Nothobranchius furzeri: one gene and its partner. Each later gene encodes a partner of the first gene's protein in a complex. Links are inferred from orthologs where the notes say so. Each region holds a gene or a part of one and is shown in the gene's direction. Other genes may lie near its edges.

Region 1 (3,756 bases):
GTGAGGTAGTTGATGGTCATCCATCCATCCATTCATCCATCCATTAATCCATCCATCCATCCATTCATCCATCATCCATCCATCCATTAATCCATCCATTAATCCATCCATCCATTCATCCATCATACATCCATCCACCCATCCATCCATTAATCCATCATACATCCATCTATCCATCCACCCATCCATCCATTAATCCATCATACATCCATCTATCCATCCATCCATACATACATTAATCCATCATCCATCCATCCATCCATCTATCCATCCATCCATACATACATTAATCCATCATCCATCCATCCATCCATCTATCCATCCATCCATTAATCCATCATCCATCCATCCATCCATCTATCCATCCATCCATCCATCATCCATCCATCCATTCATCCATCCATCCATCCATCCATCCATCCATCCATTCATCCATCATACATCCATCCACCCATCCATTCATTAATCCATCATCCATCCATCCATCCATCTATCCATCCATCCATTAATCCATCATACATCCATCTATCCATCCATCCATCCATTAATCCATCATCCATCCATCCATCCATCCATCCATTAATCCATCATCCATCCATCCATCCATCCATCCATCTATCCATCCATCCATTAATCCATCATACATCCATCTATCCATCCATCCATCCATTAATCCATCATACATCCATCTATCCATCCATCCATCCATTAATCCATCATACATCCATCCATCCATCCATTAATCCATCATCCGTCCATCCATCCATTCATCCATCATCCATCCATCCATCCATCTATCCATCCATCCATCCATCATCCATCCATCCATTCATCCATCATCCATCCATCCATCCATCCATCATCCATCCATCCATCTATCCATTCATCCATCATACATCCATCCACCCATCCATCCATCCATCTATCCATTCATCCATCATACATCCATCCACCCATCCATCCATTAATCCATCATCCATCCATCCATCCATCCATCCATCCATCCATTAATCCATCATCCATCCATCCATTAATCCATCATCCATCCATTCATTTATCCATTCATCCATCATACATCCATCCACCCATCCATCCATTAATCCATCATCCATCCATCCATCCATCCATCCATCCATTAATCCATCATCCATCCATCCATTAATCCATCATCCATCATCCATCCATCCATTAATCCATCATCCATCCATCCATTAATCCATCATCCATCCATCCATCCATTTATTTATTCATTCAACCATTTATTTTCCCATCCATCCATCTTCATCCATCCATCTGATGTGAAACAGACAAACACGAGGAGGACAGCATCCTCCTCCTCGTCGTTCCCGGTCCTGCGCGTGCGCGTGCGTGTGCGTGTGTCCTCTCCTCTCTGCAGTCGGACTCTGTAAAAACCAAAAACGTCTTTGTTGTTCTGGTCGACCTTCGGAGCAACCCACGCGGATCTTCAGCTGCACCAGAGGAGTCGGACCTGTTTTTTATGTTTGTTTTGTTCTGTATCTACTGGACCAGAACCAGAACCAGAACCAGAACCAGGAGCGGAGCCGCCTTCTGTCCTCCCGGCTTGAGGAGCCGCGCTCGGCTGAACTCAGGTCAGTCTGCGGAGTTTTTACTGGAATAAAGTCGATAAAAGTTCAAAACCCTAAATAAAGTCGAAAAGAACTGATTTAATCATCGTGGCGGGACTCGTGTGTGGGTTTGGGTGATTCTGTTCAAATTCAGTTCCTCTTCAATGATATTTGATCGTTATTGAGTCGAATAAAGACTAAAACCGAGTCTTCAGTAACTCTGGTGGATTTAAACAACTTTTCTCTGTGCTGAGGTCAAGTCTAACTTTAATGTTTTATTTAATCACCAATAAACAGCAGAATGATGGGATCCGTCCAGTTTAAGCCTTCATGTTCAGGTTTCAGACATTTACAAAGCAGAAGAAATTCCCTCAATTTAGCCACGTTATTTGGAACCCCAGCCTAAATAAACAGATAAATAAAGTAAAATATAAATATTTTATTATGATAATAAAATGATCATGAGCATCGTAGTGAGACATGTCAAAATAATTTAAGGACGTTTTATGAGAATATTTCGTTGAAATGTGATTATAATCACTAAACTCCGCAGCGTTTAGTTTGCGGATAACGTCTAGTTAGATCATTTTTAGGATGAACAGCTGAACAGATGTTTGATTTAACAACAAACATGAAGTTTTACGTGAATTTGTTACGTTTAAGGTTTTTTAGATTTTTATCTGTTGAATAAAACTGCCTCAGAACCAAAACGCCAAAAATAAACAAACTCTTCATGATTTAAATGTTATTTTTCTGATAATGATTATTTATTTGGATTAATATGTTTTATGAACTTTAGTCAAGCTGGTCACAGATGTTTACAGATGACAGGGTTAGGGTTAGAGCGAGCTTGTTGAAATCAGGGATGTAATCTCCTGAACGGAGAAGCTTTTATTCAAGTGTTCCTCTCCTGTTCCTGCAGGACCATGTCCCTCTCAGCTCCTCCTCAGGAGGACCACCTGACATGAATAACTGATTTGTGAGGACGCAGCGCCCCCTGCTGGACTCATGCAGCAGGCCATGGCTGATCCCAGTTATTCCGACCTCATTGCCAAACACTACAACTACACCGGAAAGTTCCGTAAGACGACCCAGCAGGACTCCGGTCTGAAGGCCGACTCAGTGGTCTTCATCATTGTGTGTTGCTTCATCATCCTGGAGAACGTCCTGGTCCTGACCACCATCTGGAGGACCAAGAAGTTCCACAAGCCCATGTACTACTTCATCGGGAACTTGGCGCTGTCGGACTTGCTGGCAGGTGTCGTCTACACCGCTAACATCCTCCTGTCCGGCGCCAACACCTACAAGCTGACGCCAACGCAGTGGTTCTTCCGGGAGGGCAGCATGTTTGTGGCACTGGCGGCGTCCATCTTCAGCCTGCTGGCCATCGCAATCGAGCGCCACCTCACCATGCTGAAGATGAAGCTGCACAACAACGGGAACACTTGCCGGGTTTTCCTACTCATCAGCACCGTGTGGATGATTGCGGCGGCGCTGGGCGGGCTGCCAGTGATAGGGTGGAACTGCATCGACCGCATGGTGCAGTGCTCCACCGTGCTGCCACTCTACCATAAGACCTACATCCTGTTCTGCACCACCGTCTTCAGCATCATCCTCATGGCCATCGTGGTGTTGTATGCCCGGATCTATGCCCTGGTCCGCGCTCGCAGTCGCAAGCTTGTCTTCCGCAAAGTCTCCAACGGGCGGGGCGGCACCAGTGCCAACAGCAAGAGCTCAGAGAAGTCCCTGGCACTGCTGAAGACCGTCATCATTGTTCTGAGCTGCTTCATTGCCTGCTGGGCGCCGCTCTTCGTCCTTCTGCTGCTGGACGTGGCCTGTGAGACTCTGACCTGTCCCGTCCTCTACAAGGCCGAGTGGTTCCTGGCACTCGCCGTACTCAACTCTGCCATGAACCCGCTCATTTACACGCTGACCAGCAACGAGATGCGCCGAGCATTCCTTAAGACACTAATGTGCTGCACCTCCTGCATCCGCCGGAAGCCCAAGTTCACGGGTCCGATAATGGGGGCGGAGTTTAGCCGCAGCAAATCAGATAACTCCTCCCACCCCAACAAGGAGGAGGCGGAGTATTCTCCTCGGGAGACCTCAGGGAATGTCACCTCGTCATCGTAAACAAACTTTGTGAACCCAACTTCCGTTCAATCAGAAC
Region 2 (3,756 bases), on another chromosome or scaffold:
AATGTCTAGCAACTTATTTTTCCTTTCGATTCCTCTCGGATGAAACCAGACAGCAGGATGTTACCATAACTGACCATTTCCTTCCCTTTTTTTCTTTCATCAGTGGGGCAGTTGTGTTTTCTGATCCGTCAACGTATGTCGCTGAGGCCAGAGGAGGCGCTCTTCTTCTTCGTCAACAACTCCCTCCCCCCATCCAGCTGCCCTCTCTCCACTGTATACGAGGTAACTGCAGATCTATTTGTGTCGCGTTTAAACCCCGGCGGTCTTATTTATACCTAAAACCAGCCATTAGATATCAATGTAAGTGTTTTAGACGTGATTTATTCTCTTCTGGTCATGTTTTGTTGCAGGAGCATCATGAAGAGGACCTGTTCCTCTACATGACCTACAGTAACGAGAGTGTGTACGGTGCCTGAAGTGGAACAGAAGGCCGATGAAAGACTGAGAAGGAGAGAGAGCCAAGTGAAGCTGGACTAAGAGAAAGTTTTCTGTTATGCTTTGTGACACTTTATAATTTTCTTTCTACGTTTTGATAAGTAACTACAGCTGATGGTGGAAGAACAAGGCAGAAGGTGACGCCGGTCGGGTTTTCACAGTTTTACCGACAGTATTTCAAGCTGAGCGTGATTCTCGGAGCTTTAAACTTTGTGGTGCCAGTTTTGGTTCGTTTTAAACACAGATGAGGTTTTTCTTTAAAGAAAAACCTTATCTGTGTTTAAAAAGAACCAAAAATTGAATTAGAGGACAAACACAGCAAGAATGTACAAAAGATGTTTAAACTTTGTGGTTTTCTTGTTTGGTCAAAAGTCAGGGCTTCAAAGATCGAGTTTAAAAGGGAAGATTTAAAAAATTGAGTTGAAAGAACTCATTCACTTTCTCAGTCGTCTGTATTTAATGCAAATAGTACTTTTTGTTTGTTGGTTTTTGTAAATTACCGCAGATCTTTGTGGGGAATAAAGATTATTGAAGAATGCATTCTCGCCGTCAGTCCCCTTTTTCAACAATCCTGTATAAATAACTAGCCGGCTGTAATTAGCTCCACATTTATGATGCCTCCAAATATTAACATTTAGTTTAATGTGGAATATGTATGATGTGCACACAGAGCAGAGCTTCACCTGGGAGTTAACGATGAAGCAGCAAGAATTAAAACAGGCCTTAACCGCTGAAGCCTCCACATGCCAAATAGGGGAAGGGCAGGAACAGATCTTTAAGGGGAAGTGTTGTCTCTGCTGATCAGAGGCGTTTGTTTTCACTGGACATCAGAAACTTCTCTTTTCTCTGTTCTTTAAAACCCATCTGGACATCTTGGTGCAGCATTTGTGGCACCGGGGGCTGAAAAGGGTTACATAACCTCTTGAGTTGATCAGAGACAATCGGAGCAAATCGAAAGTTGGAGCGACAAAGGGAGAGCTATGGAGATGCAGACCATCCCGTCACAAGGAACGGAAACTGGAGGTGAAGCTTTGCTGGAGGTGAAACCTCAAGGTGAGCTTAAAGGGGTCAGACGAATAAAAGAGGTGTTTGAGAGTTTAACCTTCCAGCACAAACGTACAAAAAAACTAAGTTTTAAACTTTTAGGAAGTTTTTGGAAGAAGACTCCAGATGTTTGTGTATTTATCTTTAGAGGAAGCAGAATCGGCTTACGATACCCTGCAAAGTCCAAGTGAGGACTTCTATTCAGACGCTCTCATCAGCGTTCCTGCTAAAGCAGCAAAAGGTAAGACAGAAAAAGCAGATTACAGCTCATTTATAAGCGTATTGTCTGTGATGAGCAGGAAAATCCCACGAGCAGCGCGTTTTAGCACGTCTGAGTCTGTCGCATCTTCCTTTGACAGAGTTTAAGTTCTTTATTAAGATTTTAGTAGTGATTTATTTATTTTCAATATATTTATTCATTTTCACAGCTCTGGTAATAAGTCCTGTGCTTTTAGACGTTAGTGTTTGTTCCAGTTTGATCTGGTGATTGTTCCTGAATCAAATTATTGTTCACTTGTTTCCACATATTTAAGTTACTGTACAGAGGTTTGGGGAAACACCTATGAATGTGCATCATCGTCATTATCTGTGTTACAAAAAAGGGCTCTAAGGATCATTTATAACACTGGTTACAGAGATCATACAAACTCAGTATTTTTAAAATTACAAACCTTAAAATTTCCAGAGATAGTTCAGTTTAAAACAGCACAGCTAATGTATAAAGTAAACAATAAACCACTTCCAGACAACAAATTAAAACTGTTTCATAAAAGGGAGGGGAGGTTTCGGTTAAGTGGGGAGTTAAAATTCAAACATGCTCGAGTCCGAACATCATTAAAAACTTTCAGTGTCTCTCTCTCTCTGTGTGTGTGTGTGTGTGTGTGTGTGCGTGCGGTGTGAAACTGTGGAACAGAATGAGGCGATGTCCAAACATGATGCTGTTTAAAAAAAAGCTTCAACTCATGATGTTTACCAAATACAAGGAAGAAGGTCCAAACGTGTGTGTCTAAACACAAAATGTTTGTATTTATGAGATGATCTTTGTTGGATAAATTATGAATAGATTATTTTATTATTTTTTAAACGAAAGCTTCATCCGGTTTATTTTACCCTGGCAACAGACAGGCGTTTGACCTTGCCTCTTTCCAGTCCTGGCTTATCAGTAAGAACGCCCTGTGCCAGCGCCTGTTGTCTCCCTAAAGAGAGTCTAAAGGAATGTCAAAGTGTGTGTGTCAGTGTTTAGTGTGTAAACGTGTGTGCGTTTTACCATTTTTGTGTGTCCTCAATAAATGCTTTCTGAGGGTTCTGTCTGAGAGAGCGAATTGCCTACCGACTCGTGTGAATCATTTTATCTCTCTCCACTTTGCAAAGTCTAAATTGTTTATTGGTAAAGATTGGTATGGGTTAATCGATCGGTTTATTAATATGACCCCTGCGTGTTGAACTTTCCCTCAGGTAACCCTGGATGGGAAAATGAAATGACCTAACATTTTGGTGCCGTGACCTAATTTATCCAACAATCTTGATAAACCATGTGCCATTTGTGTGAATATGTTGCAAAGTAATTTGCCAAAAACTACCAGACAACATTAAATAACTATTAGTTATTTGATGTCGAGAAAGGGGCGGGATTAACCCTTTGATGCATGAATTATGAAATCTTCAACCATGATTTTTTTAACAATTTTTTTTCATTCATCTTTAGGTGTGAATGAAACAAATTTCAACATATATTTTTTGTTAAATTTTATAATTTACAAACAATTTATTACATGTCCACCTCGGTGGACAGCGTGCACTCTGAGCATGAAATACGTTGGCTTGGCTTACTGAAGTCCAAATGGAGGGGCTCAAATGCAATAAAGTCTTCAACAGCTGTGCTTAATAGCAAAAACAAATAAATAACAATTTTGAGTACCTGTCCACTGTAGTGACCATTATGCATCAAAGGGTTAAATGTTGTGTGTATTACTATGTGTATGTACGCATGTTCAAAATAAAGACAAAGACGAGACAAATTATGATTTTCAGTTGCTCTGAATGTCTCAAATGAGAATAAACAGCATCAAAAATTAAACAAGGTCTGGATTTCTTGTTGGAACATCTAGTTGCTAACGCTAAAAAACAATCAAAAGACACACACGACAAACATCTTCTTCCGGCTCTTGGAGAGTACAGACGCTTTTTTCTCCTATCCCTCCCTCCTTAGCCCAATTGGCTCTTTGTCTTGTCTGTGCACGGCGCTTTCTGCATTTTTTCTGGAAACTGGGAATTGTT

What was found. The genes of interacting proteins can lie anywhere in the genome.
Region 2: the proteins of s1pr1 (region 1) and si:dkey-26c10.5 are in contact, whole or in part, in a cryo-EM structure (PDB 8G94), measured with the Homo sapiens proteins. The link is inferred for Nothobranchius furzeri from reciprocal best matches to the Homo sapiens genes S1PR1 and CD69. Residues at the interface, in NP_001307659.1 of Homo sapiens: Asn157, Leu160, Phe161, Ile164, Ser165, Trp168, Val169, Leu172, Ile173, Gly176, Ile179, Met180, Gly181; in NP_001772.1 of Homo sapiens: Val41, Ala44, Val45, Val48, Val49, Thr52, Ile53, Ile56, Ile59, Ala60, Val63.

The regions. Positions count from the first base shown.
Region 1 is NC_091748.1:78,298,878-78,302,633, forward strand, and holds the start of s1pr1 (sphingosine 1-phosphate receptor 1), read left to right. Parts: upstream 1-1,336; 5' UTR 1,337-1,610; intron 1,611-2,508; 5' UTR 2,509-2,594; coding exon 2,595-3,719; 3' UTR 3,720-3,756.
Region 2 is NC_091745.1:73,413,738-73,417,493, reverse strand, and holds the start of si:dkey-26c10.5 (early activation antigen CD69), read left to right. Parts: upstream 1-1,171; 5' UTR 1,172-1,415; coding exon 1,416-1,488; intron 1,489-1,627; coding exon 1,628-1,720; intron 1,721-3,756. Other genes in the region: zgc:92606 (gamma-aminobutyric acid receptor-associated protein-like 1), read left to right, coding at 104-222, 351-416. UniProt on the Homo sapiens protein: Transmembrane protein expressed mainly on T-cells resident in mucosa that plays an essential role in immune cell homeostasis.